4 separate regions of the Mus musculus genome follow, and all the other regions are reported to be linked to region 1. Evidence: microRNA targets listed by miRTarBase, many of them from high-throughput screens and not tested one by one. Region 1 holds a microRNA gene; each other region holds the end of a gene's coding sequence. Distances are from middle to middle.

The links. Region 1 holds the annotated microRNA mmu-miR-669c-3p (UACACACACACACACAAGUAAA, at 2,640-2,661, shown strand). A microRNA usually pairs through its seed, bases 2 to 8, with sites in the 3' UTR of a target mRNA and lowers its output. Matches are read on the target gene's strand: a 7mer-m8 pairs with bases 2 to 8, a 7mer-A1 pairs with bases 2 to 7 and ends in A, and an 8mer does both.
Region 2: the mRNA of Clic5 is a reported target of mmu-miR-669c-3p. Seed matches in the 3' UTR shown: 7mer-m8 at 1,733-1,739, 7mer-m8 at 1,735-1,741, 7mer-m8 at 1,737-1,743, 7mer-m8 at 1,739-1,745, 7mer-m8 at 1,741-1,747, 7mer-m8 at 1,743-1,749 and 15 more.
Region 3: the mRNA of Adig is a reported target of mmu-miR-669c-3p. The part of its 3' UTR that is shown has no 7-base or 8-base seed match.
Region 4: the mRNA of Smad2 is a reported target of mmu-miR-669c-3p. Seed matches in the 3' UTR shown: 7mer-m8 at 3,526-3,532 and 7mer-m8 at 581-587.

Annotation. Positions count from the first base shown.
Region 1 is chr2:10,506,720-10,511,170 of GRCm38, forward strand. It overlaps Mir669c (microRNA 669c), which reads left to right and starts at 2,577; the gene lies at 2,577-2,685. All of the region lies in intron 10 of Sfmbt2 (Scm-like with four mbt domains 2), which reads left to right. It overlaps Mir467d (microRNA 467d), which reads left to right and starts at 911; the gene lies at 911-995. It overlaps Mir466 (microRNA 466), which reads left to right and starts at 1,199; the gene lies at 1,199-1,271. It also overlaps Mir297c and Mir669a-2.
Region 2 is chr17:44,274,450-44,278,900 of GRCm38, forward strand. Clic5 (chloride intracellular channel 5) reads left to right here. Exons shown (of 6, transcript NM_172621.2): 6 at 765-4,451. The coding sequence ends at 932. Among named protein-coding and RNA genes, the nearest start is that of Clic5, 88 kb to the left of the region's middle.
Region 3 is chr2:158,505,155-158,509,605 of GRCm38, reverse strand. It overlaps Adig (adipogenin), which reads right to left. Exons shown (of 3, transcript NM_145635.2): 2 at 3,685-3,814; 3 at 1,408-1,651. The coding sequence ends at 3,699. Among named protein-coding and RNA genes, the nearest start is that of Adig, 4.8 kb to the right of the region's middle.
Region 4 is chr18:76,304,166-76,308,616 of GRCm38, reverse strand. It overlaps Smad2 (SMAD family member 2), which reads right to left. Exons shown (of 11, transcript NM_010754.5): 11 at 1-4,010. The coding sequence ends at 3,887. Among named protein-coding and RNA genes, the nearest start is that of Smad2, 65 kb to the right of the region's middle.

The DNA of each region.
Region 1 (4,451 bases):
AAGTTTATGTTTAACTTCATGATGCATTAGAGATCAGCATGTGTTTCATTGATGCACACCAAAATGTGCATGTGTGTGTAGTTGTGTGCATATTCACTTCTCTATGTGAATATGCATATACACACATGCAGACACAGGAATGGCACTCATATATCCTTTGGAATGGTATGTGACTCAGAGCTTTAGAGCTTATGCAGTGCTGGGCCAGAGCTATGTCTCAGTTAGGAGGTGGATGCTCTTGCCAGCGTCAGGAGGTCCCAGAGTTCAAATTCATGTTTAACTTCCTGATGAGTTACAGATCAGCCTGTTATTCATGTGATTGTTTCTGTGTATGTGTATAGATAAGTTTGTCTGTACATGCGGATATATGAAAAGACATATATTGACACATATTCACACATGCATGCATACAGAAACACATGGCAGTCATCCATAAGTTTTATATGTGCTTAGAATTTCATAGAGTGTATATTTATGGTACAGTGAAATATCTCGCCAACTAGATGAAAACCGCTTGCCAGAATCAGAAGTCTTGGAGTTCAGAATCATGCTTAACTTAATGATCAGTTAGTGATCATCCTGGATTCGTGTGATGGACCCTAGGTATGTACATGCACACATAATTTTGTGTGCATGTACATGTGTGTATATGATTATACATAACACACACACACACACACACACGTATAAAAGCAAGCACACACACACCAAGGTATGGCATTCATCGATCCATTTGAATGATATATGTCTTAGAATGTTACTGATTATGCAGTAGAAGGACAGTGAATGGTCTCACTCACAAGGTGTAAACAATTGGCATTGTCAGGAGGATCAGGAGTTCAATTTCATGCTTAACTTCATGAGCAGTTAGAGATCATCCTGGAATAATGTGATGGCCCCTATGTATGTGCCTGTGTGCATAAGTGCGCGCATGTATATGCGTGTATATTTTATGCATATACATACACACACCTACACACACATGCACACAGACATGCGGGAATGGCCCTCACGGATCCATTTGAATGATATGTGACCTACTGCTTTGGAGGTTATGTATGACTGGGCCAGGGTGAGGTCTCACAAACCACGGGAAAACCCTTGGTAGAGTCGGGAAGATCAGGAGTGCAAGTTCATGGTAAAGGCATGATGAGTTAGAGGTCATCCTGGCATTCATGTGATTGCCCCTATGTATGTGTATATGTGTTTATGTGTGTGTACATGTACATATGTGAATATGATATCCATATACATACACGCACACATAAGACACATATGAGCACACAGGCACACAGGAATGGCACTCACTCATTGATCTATGTGACTGTGAGCTTTGGAGATTATGTGTGACTAGGTCAGGGAGAGTTATCACCCATCATGTTAAAAATGCTTGTTAGAATCAGGAGGTCAGGAGTTCAAATTCATGCTTTATTTCATGATGACTTAGAGATCTGCCTGGGAATCATGTGATGTCCCCATGTATGTGTATATGTGTGTAACTGTGTGTGGATTGTGTATATGAATATACATACCTACACACACATAGACCCATCCACAGACACAGACACACACACGCATGCCACTCCTCAGTCCATTTGAATGATATGTGACTTAGAGTTTTAGAGATTCTGCAGTACTCAATAGGGAGAGGTCTCACACCACAGAGTCAGGTGGATCAAGAGTTCAAATTCATGTTTAACTTCATGATGAGTTAGAGATCAGCATGCTATTCATGTGATGACCATAAAGAATGTGCATGTGTGTATAGCTTTGTGCACATACACTTCTCTATATGAATATGCATATACACGCATGCACACACACTCACTCACAGGAATGGCCAGAGCTATGTCTCAGTTAACTTACCAGGTAAAACGCTTGCCTTTTGGATCAGCAGTTCAAATTCCTGAATAACTTCAAAATGACCTAGGGATCAGCCTGGCCTCATGGCATCCTCCCCCCATATATGTGCATGTGTGTATAGTTTTGTGTATATGTACATGTGTGTATACAAATATACATCTACATACAGACAAACATAAACACACAGGCACGCACACACACACACACACACACGCGCACACACACAGAGGAATGTCACTCATTGATCCTTTTGAATGACAGGTGACTCAGAGCTTTAGAGATTATGCAGGGCTGGGCCAGTGAGTGCTCTCACTCACAAGGTGAAAATGCTTGCTTGCCAGACTTTGGATGACCAGGAATCAAAATTCATGCTGAACTTCATGATGAGTTCGTGATCAGCTTCGGAGTCTTGTGATGACCCTAGTATATATGCCTGTGTGTATATGTATGTGTGCATGTACATGTGTGTATATGAATATACATATACATACACACATACCCATACAAACATGCATACAAACACACAAAAATTGGCACTCATCCATCTATTTGAATAATTAGTGACTTAGAGTCTTAGAGATTCTGTATGACTGGGGCTGACAGAGAGAGGTCTCAGTCACCAGGAGAAGACTTGCTAGATTCAGGGTGATCAGGAGTGCACATTCATGTTAACGGCATGATGAGTTAGAGATCAGCCTGGCATTCATGTGATGCCTCCATGTATGTGCATGTGTGTATAGTTGTGTGTGGATGTGTGTATTTGCATATAAATAACATACACACACACACACAAGTAAACACAAGTGCACAAACAGACACAGGAATGCCATTCATCGATCCATTGGAATGATAAGTGATTTAGAGTTTTAGAGATTTTGAAGTAGAGACGGTGAATTGTCTCACTCACCAGTTGTAAACGATTGAAAGAGTCAAGAGGATCTGGAGTTCCAATTCACTCCTATGTTCAGCTAGATAGCATCCTGGTATTCATGTGATATCGCCCATGTGTGTGCATGTGAGTATAGTTGTGTGTGCATGTCTGTATTTGAATATACATAACATACACACACTAATGCAAGTACACACACACACACACACACACACACACACTCACACCAATGCCACTCATCAATCCATTGGAATGATGTGTCACTTAGAGTATTAGAGATTATGCAGTACTTGGCCAGTGAGTGCTCTCAGTCTCTAGGTGAAAATGCTTGCTAGAGTTAAGAGTATTCAGGAGTTAAAACACATACTGACCTTCATGAGGATTTAGAGATCAGCCTGTGATTCATGTGATGGCCCCATGATTGTGCATGTGTATATAGTTGTGTGTGCATGTTCATGCATGTATTTGCATATACATAACATACACGTATAAACGCAAGCACACACACATAGAGACACAAGAATGGCTTTCATCGATCCCTTTGAATGATATGTCACTTAGCATATTAGAGATTATGCAGTACTTGGCCAGTGAGTGCTCTTATTCTCTAGGTGAAAATGCTTGCTAGAGTTAAGAGTATCAGGAGTTTAAATTCATGCTTATCCTCATGAGAGATCAGCCTGAGATTCCTCCATGTATGTGCATGTGTGTATAGTTGTGTGTGCATGTTCATGTCTATATTTGAATATACATAACATACACACACACGTATAAACGCAAGCACACACACAGACACAGGAATGGCATTCATTGACCCATTTAAATGATATGCCACTCAGAGTAGTAGAGATTATTCAGTATGGGGCAAGTGAGTGCTCTCATTCTCTAGGTGAAAATGCTTACTATAGTTAGGAGTATCAGAAGTTCAAATTTATGCTTATCTTCAGCATGATTTAGAGATAAGCCTGTGATTCATGTGATGCCTTAAGTGTACATGCAGGTTTGTATAGTTGTGTGTGTATGTTCATGTGTCTATATGGATATACATAACATATACATAGACATATAAACCCTAGCGTGCACACACACACACACACACACACACACACACACACACACACACACACGAATAACATTCATAGATCCATTTATATGATATGCCACCTAGAATATTAGAAATTATTCAGTACTGGGCCAGTGAGTGCTGTCATTTTCTAGGTAAAAATGCTTGCTAGAATCAGGAGTATCAGGAGTTCAAATTCATGCTTATCTTCAGGAGGATATAGATATCTGCCTGTGATTCATGTGATTGCCACCCATGTATGTGCATGGGTGTATAGTTTTGTGTACATGTGCATGTGTGTATATGAATAGACATAACATGCACATACATATAAACACAAGCACACACACACACAGAGACACAGGAATGACACTCATCGATCCATCTGAATGATAGGTGACTTAGAGTTTTAGAGATTATGCAGTAGTGGGACAGTGAATGGTCTCAATCACCAGGTGTAAACCACAGAGTCAGGAGGATCAGGAGTTCAAATCCATGCTTAATTTCAGTTGGAGATCATCCTGGTATTTCTGTGATGCTACCCATGTATGTGCATGTGTGCTTACTTGTATGTGCATGTGCATGTGTTGATATGAATATACATAACATAAACACACGTGTATATGCAGGCACACA
Region 2 (4,451 bases), not on the chromosome of region 1:
TTGTCAGTTGGGCCAGTGTTGTCAGTTGCCACAGTCTACATAGTCGTTAACATTAGGGAAGGGTCTAGAAAGGCCAAGGCTGTGCTCCCTCCCTGTCCTACTGTTCCTCACAACCTGGGGAGGAGAAAAGGATGTGGTTGTCATCCTTTTGACTCAGGACAGAATGTGTCCTGTTGTTGTACCAGAAGCTCAGAACTGGAATGAGAGATGGGAAGAAAGGTGTCCTCCTAATGGCTTTTCATGCAGCAGACTGTCATTGTCTTCTTGGCATCATTTCCTGTGGACTCCTCATGACCCATACAGCAAGGAAGAAATCCTTGCGTGGCTGAGCTGGGGGTCCCTGAGCAGGAAAATATCAGACCCCATGGTTTGGTGCCCTCTGCCACCCCCAAGAGAAAACAGAGAAAGTTAGAAGCAGAACCCTGGGAGAGATTCTGCTCTCTGCTGCCCCTGCATGACCCTGAGGGCTACAGGAAAGACTAATGGGCAGGTCCCAGGGAGCAGTGAATAAGAGGTCCTTTGTTAAAAAAATATATGAAGAATGTACTGATATTGACACAGCCTTAAAGCAAGAGCAAGGACCTCTTGTTTGCAAGACCCTGGGAGCTTGCAGATATGGCTAGTCTTTCTACCCAGCTTCTCTTGGCCATGCTGTATGCAAACATACCTGATATGCACAGCCACCCATGAAACCATGGTCCCAACACCTCCTAATGTTTTGTTTCCTGCCTTCATGCCATCATTTTCTTGTCATCTTTGCTTAGATTGTGGCTAAGAAGTACCGAAACTATGACATCCCAGCTGAGATGACAGGCTTGTGGCGATACCTCAAGAATGCCTATGCACGGGACGAGTTCACCAACACCTGTGCAGCTGACAGTGAGATCGAGTTGGCCTACGCAGATGTCGCCAGGCGCCTCAGCCGATCGTGAGCTTGGCTGTCTGGCCCAATTTCTGCTGCAGAAGAATTCTACTTCTCCCAATGGCTTTCAGCTCTACAGACTCTTCTTCCCCATTGCCTTGGGGAAACATAAAAAAAAATTAGGCCACATCTTACTGGCACCCCTGAACTCAACTCCAGCCTTCTACCTTCTAAGATCAGTGCCATCCTTCTGCCTTGCCCTGCAGGAGCCTGGCAAGCAGAGGACACGGTGGCAGATTTTTTTTCCACCTGCTGGTCTGATCTAGGGTCAGTGTATCTGGGGTCAGTGAATCTGGGGTCAGTTTGCAGAGCTCTCATGGGATTGTCACCGTTCCCTTCTGCCAATATCATAATGCTTTCTCAGATGCGCTAACAACTTGAAATGCCAGCTTCTCTCTCCCCTCGTTCCTCAGCAAATGCAAGGTGATGGACAGATACATCATCGTCAGGGAGAGATCTATGCCTTGATTGGGGAGACAGTGGTTGGGGGGACTCAGCTGGGTGTGGCTCTAGCAAAACAGTTCCAGATGCTCACTATTTCTGACAGTGGGCCAGATGGAGACACCCCCAACACACAATATACCCCAGTTTTCTGGTGCAATATGATTACATCCTGGCCAGCACTGACCCAAGTTTTCCTCCTGTCTCCATTTTGCCACAAAGGCAGTCGATTTATAACTCTAAACCAAGGTGACCCAGATAGGGAGAGACTTCTGGGAAGCAATATTGATGCCAAAAGGCCCAAACAGGGTCTACAGCCACAGGGGTCACTGGCTGAAGAGTAGTCGTCCACTGGAGATCACATGAGAGTGTGTGTGTGTGTGTGTGTGTGTGTGTGTGTGTGTGTGTGTGTGTGTGACTGTGTTCTTCAGTGGGTAGCTTTGGGTTTGAGCAAGCGAAGGAAGTGGAGGGATGGGAGGAAATAAAGTTCTATTTGAGTTTGACATAGCCTAGAAAACTTTTAGAGCAGTCTTCTCTCTCATTATCTAAATCTTGGATTGGTGTTACGGCACCCCTACCAACTGTAGAGCAGACTCCAACATCAGCCAAAAATGTCTTCCAGGCTCTTCATAGTCACTTGCAGATGTGGGTTGCCACCTGCCTGTGCCCTGGCTCCCAGTTTCTTCAGCCTCAGCCTCTGATGAAAGAGAAAGTCTATTAATGAATGGTGTGATCGTGGGCTACCTTAGGAAGAAAGCCCATGGGTCTTTCTGACTGGGAAGCCACAACTTGAATTTGGAAATTATGGACTGCCTTGGGCTTGGGTTCATTTTCCTGTCAGCAGGCTCATCTATCAGATTTTCAAGGAAGAGAAAACTTTTTAAAAATTTCTTTATAAACTAATATTTCTCTCTTTAGTAATTCTCCTTGAGTTTTACCTACAACTCTCACAGGGTGTGACCATGAGAACCTAGGCTGATTAGGAACTATGACAAATCAATCACTCATTAGCTCTTCCTCTACCAGTGAGCTAGTGAGTGCCTAGAAGAAATCCATCACCAGGACCTCAACTCCAACAATCCCGCTTCTGTGTCACTGACAGTGGAGGCGAGGCTCCTGAGGGCCGGTAAGGCCCTGGTCTTGGCTCATTGCTCGGGAGGGTGGAGCAGCACAGATCCTTTCCATAGAAATACAACATGGTTTAACCCAAGCAGTCACTGAGCCCTCCTGCCTCTAGGGATCTCCAAAGCAAAGAGTGACCATTGATCCAAGGAGGGAGGAAGCAGGAGGTCTCCCTAGCCCACTGGGGAAGAGGACTCTGCCTGCTAGAAGTTTATAAACCTGAAGGGGCTTTGAAGAGGCAAAATGAGCCGATTCATTTCCATCGCTACAGGAACCTTTCCACGGGCTCTCCATAAGCTACCCCTGGGGATGTTTAAAAGTGTAGCACTGCTGAGGGAACAGCACTTTTTTCTTCAGGGAAGAGCCCTCAATGGGCCTCTCGGGGAAGCAGAACTTCCGGAACCATCCGGAAGGCCGTTTAATTAAAAGAAAACCATGCTGTTCTCCGGGATCCTTCCTAGAATTTACAAGCAGGCAGGGTGAACTCACGCAGCTCACACCCCTATTTTCCAAAGGTGGGCTGGTGTTAAAGATATGAAGACTAGCGTGCATGCTGAGGGGCCTCAGAGGAAGGGGAAGAATTTTCCTCATGTGATGCTCTGAGCCCAGCAATCGGCATGTCTTTTAAAAACAAACTTCCCAAGCCGAGTCGATGTTGTTTCTAGACGGTTCTCCTATGGTTGAGTTAGTTTCACATACATCACAATATTTAGGCAATGTTGGATGCTATAGGATCAATCAGAACCCCTTTAAAGAGAGGCACGATTGTAAATGGGAGGCTTTCCTCAGTACTTTAATGCAGATGTAACTTTAATGTTATCAAATAACTATAATGAGACTAACCAATGTCTTAGGACACAATTATCATAGTATGTAAAAAAAATAGCAATAAAGTCAATGATGATTACCTACCCCACCCCCTCCAAGGAGAGTTTTCTCTGGAGGCTCTAGTTTCTTTGGACCTTGGTCTTAACCTTGATATGTATATGGTTTACCATCTGCAGTCACCCTGTGTTGAGGTTCCAAGTCCCAGCTCAGACCATGTGGAAGGGTTTGTAGTGTGGACTCTACCTGCAGAAATTCTGGATAAGAGCTATTCCGGTAAATGCCAGTCCCCCAGGAAGCATTTGGATGTCAGAGAAAAGGAAGCTATGTTGACAGAGCTATTGTGTATTCTTTTCTCACCTTGGATTGTCACATGACAATCTTGTATGTATGAAACGTTAAGTGCAAAGCAAGACAGACAGACGGGGTCTGACTCAAAATTACTGAGCTGAGTGTACCTACCTATTTAAAACTGCCCACTTCTTAGGTTGATCCAGACAGAAGACATTCTTAGGTTGATCCAGAGAGAAGATGTTATTAACTATCCACAATAAGATAGAAAGTGAATTGTTTGCTTGTTTAGAAATATAATTTCATATTCTCCTGAAAAAAAAGAAAATGTCCTGGTAAGTTCAGGATCACAGTCATGTGTCTATCTCACAGTTTAAATGAGGGGTCTAGGTAGCCTACTGGAACCAAACAAATCAGTTGCAAAGTAGGAAATGGTCACTCAGTTTATTTAGGCAGTCGATCCCAAACTAGTTCTAGCTTCCTGGTAGGTGGCAATGTCCCCACTGGTCCCCTCTAGTGTTGGTGGGAACAAATAGGCTCTCTTTTTTTTTCTTCAAAACCAAACTGTTCCAAAAGTGAAGTTTGGGGCAGAACCTGCTGGTACCTTCTTGTGAGGTTCTTATGAGGTGAAACAAGAACAGTGACTAGAGGGGTGGACATTCTGCAGACAGGTAGTCCTAAGCAGGTTAGAACCATCATGGAATGAAACATGCCTGGCACAGAGAGACGTTGCTGTTGACAAGTTCTGGGGACCTTCCAGGCCCAGGTAAATTGTATTATGAGGGAAGTCAAGGCAGAAGCCGTGTGTCCATCTAATAAAAGTTCACCATCGCTAAAAGAGTTTGCATCT
Region 3 (4,451 bases), 150 Mb from region 1:
GGAGTGTGGGACACTGTGAGAGACCTGGATGGTATCAGAAGGACCCAGGCACCCACATTATGATGGTGGCTATCTTCAACATCTGACTGGGTGTGACCCAGGGACATAGGCTGCATCAGAGGTCCAGTCATGTCTTCTCCCACCAGTCCAAGGAGGTACAGAAGGGCCTGCCTGCTCCTGCTTCCCCTCAGGGTCCATCCCACATACTTCCAGACAGGTTGGGACAATGATCTGGGGACTGGACAGCATGCCCAGGATTGTGGGGAAGCTGGCCTTTGACCTCTGAGCTGCTGCTGGGGTTGCTTGTAATGGGGTTTATGGAGAAGCCTCCAGGCAAAGCCAGGGGCCAGCCCTGGCCGTGCTGAATGGGAACCATTACCAAAGGAAGCTTAGCCTCATCACGCAGATAAAAGCCCACGTAGAGCTTTGTGTGTGTGCATGTGAGTGTGCATGTGTGTGAGAACATGGGGGGGGTGTTGAGTTGATGTGTGTGCCTGTGTGTTGGGGAATGTGTAGAGGCTAGAGAAACATGGCATTCTCATGCACCCTTGGTGCCACCGTCCGTGCAAAGACTTGGGGACTTCTGTAAGCTGGACTGTGGGATTGTATCATACACACCAGCATGCTCGGAATCTTCTACAATATTTTCACATAGGGGCAGGCTTATGGGTGAAGTACAGGTATAGTCATTGCATCCTATGATGGAGGAGAGAAGAAGCCCAGGGCGTTCAGCAACATCAGCTGGCTTCAGATCCCAAAGGGCCGTGTTACAATGGATGAAGAGCTGAGACTCCAGCCAGGAGCACAGGGAGCCACAGATTGGGTTTTTTTTTTTTTTTTTTTTAGGGAAATGGGGGAGGGGTGTTCTGATGGGTGCAGTGGGTGAGTCACTCTGACAAGACAGAAGGAACAGTATAATGGTCACAGGTTATCAAGTCAGGCTCTGTCTTCTCCCTGGGAGAACTTCAGTCTTTGTGGTGTCCAGCAGGGGGAGGGACAAAGTGATATCAGATGGTACCTAGGAGGCCTGTCCCCTCTCATGGACCATCTTCCAGTTGCCTTGGGGTAACCAGAAGGGCTGCAGGAGACTTTGGTAATTCTCCAAGGCCCAGGACCTTAAAATGCAGCCAGGCACAGTGACACACCTTTAATCCCAGCACCCTGGAGGCAGAGGCAGACAGATCTCTGTGAGTTTGAGGCCAATCTGGTCTACGTGGCAAGTTCCAGGCCAGAGCTACTTCGAGACACCTGTCTTAGTGTGTGTGTGGGGGTGCAGACATTCACACTATAGTCTAATCAAGGATCAAGCCTGTGGTGTGACGTTGAAAACTCAGAGTGCTTGCCTCTGCCAGCAGACACGAGGCTGGGACAGTCCAGAGAGTGCCATGCCGAATGAATGGACATCGGAAGCTCTGTAGGGGCACAAGAGCACCCCCATTTCTTTAATAGGTATCCAACACACCCTGTGAGTTGACTGGCCAACTGGCCCCCATAAGCCGCTTGGGCCTGGCTCTTCCAGGTTCCGGGTCATCTGTGGTGATGGAGAAGGGATGGTTTGGCAAGAGGCTTGGCAGGTCTGACAACGGGAGATCCCAGGGAAGGCCATCGGTCACCAGTGTTCTCCCTCCATCCACTTAGGCCCAGATGGTACCTAGTAAACAAGCCATAAACACATGGGACTTGGGTTGGAGATGAAGTCAGAATGGAGGATAAGAGATGAGGAGCAATGGTGGGGTCGAGAAGAGCTCTCTCTGAAGATGGGCAGGGTCCTTTGGTTCGGGATGTGACTTGGTGGTACAGAACTCGCCTAGTACGCTTGAGACTCTGGGTTCAAACCCTAGCACTACCAAGACAACAAAATAAATAAATAAGTACACACAACCATAGCAGAGTCATATCAGACAGAGAGGTTTCTCTGGGGCCTTGTGTGATTTCAACGGTCAAGAAGCCTCCCCTTCCTTGTCCACGAACTTGAGCACATGAGCACACAGGAGTTTTTCCAGGGAAATGTCTCACTTGGCAAGGCTATGACCCAGAAAGGTTAAGCAAGGACTCTTAAGCTCAGGGAGGGTTCAGGGAGCCCCCCACCCCTTCTCAGTCCCACCTCCTCCCTCCAAGTGAAAGCATAGTGCTTGACCATGCTACACAACAAGGAGAACAGAGGGAAGATGTGGGCCCAGCGGAGGTGGCGATGGGTCGCCAGGACCTGTTGCCATGGCTGGATGTGAAGGAGCCCTGGAGGCTGAGCCCTAAGGTGGTGGCTGGAGCAGGGACGAAAGAAGTGGGGATGGGGCCATCGGGCTTTGCTTTGTGGGGCGACTGTGGGACATGGAGAGCTTAAACGGGGAGATGACAGAGCTCAGAGGAAGATGAGAGTGACAACATGCATTTGGGGGCCGCTGGCTGGAGGCGACATGAGCCCAGTGGCATGGCTGCCAAGGCCCTGGATCCCTCTGGATGAGACCCCAAGTTTTCACATATCCATGGAGGTGAGAACACCTCATCCCAGCTTTCACGGTGAGTGTGTGAGAAGGAGATGCATATTCCAGGACCACCAACCACACGGGTGATGACTGGCATCGTAGGCTTTGGCCAATGTGTGTGCAACTCCCCCACTGTGTGGTGGGAAGGGATTTGGGTGTTTGGATCCCCCCATTATCTAGGTTTCTGGAAGGTGGTAATTAGCCACAGCAAAGGAAAGTAGTGCAGAGTCAAGGGGGCACTGTGATATCCAATATTGGGGGAACCCCTGACAAAGTGACACTTGTGCGAGTCATGGGAGGGAAGAAGGGGAATCCAACAGCTGTGTGAGGGAGGAAGCTTCTAGCAGAGGGAAGAAGCAATGCAAAGGCCCTGAGGTGACACGAGGTGAGGAAGGGCTGGGGCTTTGTAAGGAAACTCCTCCTGGCTGAGGTGACAGTTCTCCACACACCAGGCAGGCAGCTGCCCACCAGGGGCCAACGTAGGAGCAAGGAAATTGTGAGTGTGTATTGTCAGGAGCACAACCATATAAAGGACCCCAATGCCACAGAGCCACAGGAGTGCACCCACCGGGTGTAGGGCTCAAAGGGATGGCAGGCAAAGTCTTCCTTTAGTGTGCAGAAAATGTCCACTATAGCTTTCGTCCTCCAGATTGCTATGGCCTGAAGATTACTCCCTCACAGAGACCACACTTATGAGTTTAGCTAAACCTTCCTCTTTGTCCAACTGAATATCATAGTTCCTGCTTCCCCATCCAGCTGTACACCATGGCCCCTGTCTCCTCATCCAGCTGTACACCATGGCCTCTGCCTCCTCCTACAGCTGTACACCATGGCCCCTGCCTCCTTGTCCAGCTGTAGACCATGGCCACTCCCCCTGCAACACCCCTCACCCCCCCGGTCCAGCCGTAGACCATGGCTCCTGCCTCCTTATTCAACTGTACACAATAAACATGTTCCAAAAACCCAGATCATCCCATCCAAGCTTGTCTATGTCCATGTGTCTGTCCTTTCTTCACACCTTTGCCACCCCAGTCAGGTCAAGTCCCTGAAGTCATGGAGATCATAGCAGGACAGTCAGTTCTTCAGTAAAGCCAAGGCCCAGGGTGTCCACACAGCAAGACAGCCTGCTCCAAGGGTCAGCTGCTGAGGCTCTGTGCAGGCCCGGGGTCTTACAGCTGCCCATTCCTATGGAAGGCCTTACCTGGTAGAGCAGGATCACCAGTGGAGTCCGTCCTCCTCACCAGGAAATGTCTCCTCACAGCCACACTCAGATGGTCTTTTGCTCCAGGGCTCCCAGTTGAAGCACAAATCTGAATCATCTTCCTTTGACTCTGTGGAGACCAGAGACAGAGCTTCTGGGGTGGGAACAGCCTGTAGTGCTCTGCAGCTCCAGAGGAGACATGTGCCAAGCCTGGGGTCCATGTGGCCCTGTATGAGACCTGAAGCTGGGGCAGGAGGTTAGCTCTGAGACTTTATGGTCTTGGATGGAGAACAAGGAGGGACCTAGAAATAAGATTCTCTCGGAGACAGTGACCATATCCACGTACTAAAAACAGAAGGACTCAGGAGGTGTGCAGATGTCCCACTGTCGCAGTGTGAATGGGAAATGCCCTGCACAGGATCATGGGAACTCTTGCTCCACAGCTAGTGGAAGTCTGTAGAAACTGCAGGAATCAGAGCCTCTAGAGGGAGTGGAGAGAGGGGGACCACCTGGAGGCTTTACCAGCCTCCTCCTCTTTCCTGTTCTCTGCATCCTGATGTGATGAGGTTGGCACCCAGGCTCTGCCACACCCTCCCCATCATGGTCTCTGCTTAAACCAGGAGCCCAAAATGAAGCCTTTCTTCCCTAGCTGGCTTTTGTCTGTTTTTTTGTTTGTTTGTGTTTTTTTTTGTTTGTTTTTGTTTTTTTGTCGTGGTCACAAGATTGGTAATTAATGTACCTGCTGCACTGGGCATTGTCCAGGGAAA
Region 4 (4,451 bases), not on the chromosome of region 1:
GGTGGTCAAACAACCTTTTCACAGGGGTCACCTAAGACCATCAAAAATCAAAGATATTTACATTATGATTCATAACAGTAGCAAAATTACAGTAATGAAGTAGCAATAAAATAATTTTATGGCTGGGGGTCACCACAACATGAGGAACTGCACTAAAGGGTCACACCGCTGATCTAGACTGTCCCCAAACTGTGATGGAGATGCTGTTACCATCTAAACTATGATAAATAATGTTGAGTTTGCTACTTGTCAGTCACAGGGACATTTTAACTGGGCAAAAATTCCAGAGTCATTTGAAAGACTCCAACAACGGTCCAGGAATGAACAATACTAGCTTGCCTGCAGGGAAATGCATCGCACTAAGGGAAGAATACAGAATGCATTCAGAAAAAAAAATAGAGCTGATTGACTGGGGAGGGTAAGGTGCAAGGAAGCCTGGGTTTAGCAAAGTGCTCAGGCAAAAGCATGACAAGTAATAAGTCTGATCTATCAGGACACCAAAGCCTTAAGCCACAGTATGGGGAAAGGCCCTTGGCTGCCCTGTGAAGACATACCTGAGATAGTTGCACAGAGAGGTGCAACACACAGGCAAGCTGGAAGGGTCAACTTAGATTGTCTCCTTACTTTATACCTCACCACCAAATCAACTACTCTCCAGCAAAGAGGACACCTAAGAGAACAACTGTTCCAAGTAGTTAATCTTAAAAAAAGGGGGAGGGCTTAAAAACACATACGGGCAGCTCTTGGCAGAGGTAGGGAAGGCAACTGGGCATCTGCTTTCTTTGACTTCAACCAGCAAAAGCCTACTAACCTGACTGACTTGGACTCTTAGTCGGGATGAACTGACAACCAAGGCGTGATGAAGGTGAAATTAAAGAAACAAAGAAGGAACTCTGTACATATACATACATATATGTACACAATTAGAAGATTCAGCTCTCAAGAAAACATATGCAAATTCCTTCTGGCAAAGTCATAGGCCCTGAAAACAACAGGAACTCTCACAGGACTAAGCCCAACTCCAGAGCCAGGACATGGTCCCAGAATCACATTGGCTGGGTAAACAATAGGCAGGAACTATGCTGACTAAATGTATATAACGATGGATAGTAAGTCTAACTGGTGTGGCTCAGACCCTAGCAGGAAAGGGTCCTTAAGTCACAGCCCAGTTTAGTGGCATTCCAAAAGACTGGCCTAATACAACCAAATGTTTGAATCTGGTAGAAAGGCTTTCAAATTACTGCTGAGACATGATGCTAAATAATGTGGAGAAATTAAATCAATATAAATCAACCAAGAGAGGCCGTAGGAATCATCTGGAACAAAAATCAGTCTTGCAAAAGAGGTGAAATCAACAAAATCTAGGTGACAGTAGCGCATGCCCACAGCATTCCGGTGAAAAGCAAAGATAAGCACTGAATTCTTTTCACATGAGTTTACACGGTGACTTGTTCACGCTCGGTGGTATAGAAAACCTATTCCTGAACCCCAACCATGGAGCTGTGTCTCACTGTTGGCAACACTTTAACATGTCTGATAACCTCCTACCACTTTCAAAGCTGTCCTCTGCCCCAGAACTGTCCCAACAGCTCAAGTTTTCTAGTCTGTGGAAACTTCCAGAGAAGGGGCAGTTTATGTACAAGGATCTCCAGTAGGCTCAACAGCAATAATGCACAGGACAATTGCTCTATCACAAGATGGGCAGCGGAAGGGAAGCAGTGATAGCCGATATGCAGCAACACGTCCAGAAGCAAGCAGGGAGGCTCCAGACTGGTGAGCATTTACGTAACGGGAGTTGTTAAATTAAGTGGCACTGACCTGGTGTAAGAAAGCTGTACAAGGTCTGAGGAATAGATTACAGTGAGATGACAGAAGCAGCCTGTCACAAAGCAGTCCCACCTTCAACAAATTCTAAACTGAACAAGCATTTTCATCACCACGTGTGGGTGTGTGCAGGTGTGTGCACAATCATGATACCTGACAGTGAGTCTCTATGAGCCTGAGCCTTTGGATGCTGATAATGTTCCAGCAGTGTTAAATTGCCCTTGGCTCTTCACATGGCTTTCTCTTCCTAGGTCAGGGGTTAGCTTACACATCACTCTCCAGATGCCTTCCTAATATCCTACCAAAAGCATCGTCTCTGCCATTCTCAAAGTATACCCTGTTTACCTCCTATGCAGACACTTGAGTATGGGTTAAACCAACTGCTCTTAGCAAAGGCAGGAACTATAGCTATCTTGTTCACCTTCACCCAAAAGTTAAGGAAGTTCATGGCACATTAACAGGTGAACAATAAATATTTGAATAAAAATTACTATACCAAATTTACATGAACACATAACATACAAACACAAATATAGGAAAATGAGAAATATCAAATAGAAAACAACCAATGTTGAAAAGCATCAAAAATGATTACTGTACATACATGTGAGAATGGTCTCAAAGAGTAAGTACCAAAAGTATTTGTCTGCAAAAATATGAAAGTTTACAAAAAGGAGACCAGGCATTTGTACGGAGTTGCAAACGAGAAAGGAGTCAACACTGGACATGACTGTCGTGTGCTGCAGAAGGGAGGACCAAAGGACAGCTGGGATCTCCTTCCTGCAGAGCTGAAAGGTCAGCAAACCACACACCCAGGGTAAGTCAGGAAGAGCTAAGTCCACAGCTAACTGCGGGCTAGAAATCTTGCTAAATGGCTTAGCTCACAATATTTAAACCTTTGAAGCTAGGTAAAATAACATTCTACTTATAAATTACATACAATACACTTTAAAAACAGATGGCCCTATCTGCTGACAAGACCTCAGCGTCACTCTAACACATTTACAAAAGGTCTGTTCTGTAATACAACCTGGTAGTAAAAGTAAAATGAGGCAAAAGGTCGGCTGCCTTTACAGAAAGGTACTTTATTATTAGACTGGCTTTGGAAGAAGGAAACAGACTGAGATGATTCTAGAATAGCCCTGAAAATAATTATACTGCCACCTGTGCATGTTTGAGACAAAAGTTAATCAACAGAACAACTGGTTATACACATCAGTTATCATCTGCTGAAGTCTGGTTATTAGACAAAAGGACTTACTGCCCACACAAACCTTTCCTGGACTCAGAAACAACTAACCCAGAAGCCAGCAGTGCAACTGTTTAGCACGACGTCATTCTGCTGTACTGCTCTGAACCAGAACAGGAATGGGATGAGGAGCCTGGACGGTTCCAGTAAGGTTTCCTTCTAATGCAACTCAGGAGAAAAGGCTCACAAAAGAACGACTGCTAAGATCCACTGGACACATGAAGGTCAAGGACTTCCAAGTTAATCCACTTGTCTTCCCCCAAGAGTTTGTTTATTTTTGGTAAAAGGCAGAAAAATTAGTTTCTACAAGGAAAATCTGCTTCTAAATGATAATTTGAAAATCTTGATATATATATATTATATATTAAAAAAGACACAAAAATAACGGAGAAGTGGGAATAACAGATTAGATACTGTAATTTTATAAAGGCTTGCCTAGACCAAGAAGCAGCACACACACCTCATTTATGCAAACTAAGAATGTATACAAACAGCATAGTACTGCAATACTGGGTCTGGACACATTACCTGTACACAACTACTACTGTTATTAATAACCTTTGGGATACTGTCTTATGCCCAACAAGACATCATTAAGTCTTTAAGTCTTCTTTTTCCCCGCTGGGGAGGGCATTTCTAGACACTAATTTTCCCATCTAATATTCAAATATAGGAAACAGATTCCACAAGGTGCTTTAACTGATGAGACCTCAAGTGCTGTTTTTGCTCTGGAATTTTTGGATAGCAAACAGTCCACGGGATCATACATGAATACTACGACGGAGGAGCTGTTACAGCGAGTCTTTGATGGGTTTACGACATGCTTGAGCATCGCACTGAAGGGGATCCCATCTGAGTTAATACTTTGTCCAGCCACTGCAGAGGGCCATTCAGATGAAGTTCAATCCAGCAAGGAGTACTTGTTACTGTCTGCCTCCTGTTTGAAAGAACACAAAAACAATTAGGAAACTAGAAGGTTGTATAAAATAAAATCTATTTCTTTAGAATAATTATTAGTCTTGTGTATATATTTATAAATTTTAAAATGGTTGACATTTACTGCTAAAAATGAACTAGTGAGTTTGGTCCTTTTTCAAGAATTTTATTTATGTGTGGCACATATGTATGTTTCCAGGTGCATGCAGAAGCCAGAAGGGAGTTGGGTGTCTTCCTCAACTTAACCTCGTTTCCTTGCGTCGGGGTCACTCCCTGAACCTGAAGCTCCCTCGCTATTCTAGCTGGACTGACTGGCTGGCTGGCCAGCAAGCTCCTAGAATCCATCTGTCCCCGGGGCCTCGGTTCCTCAGTCCCAGCACCCCCATCTCCACCCACGATGGTGTTATACACACTCACAGCCATGGCTGGTTCTTTTGGGTGC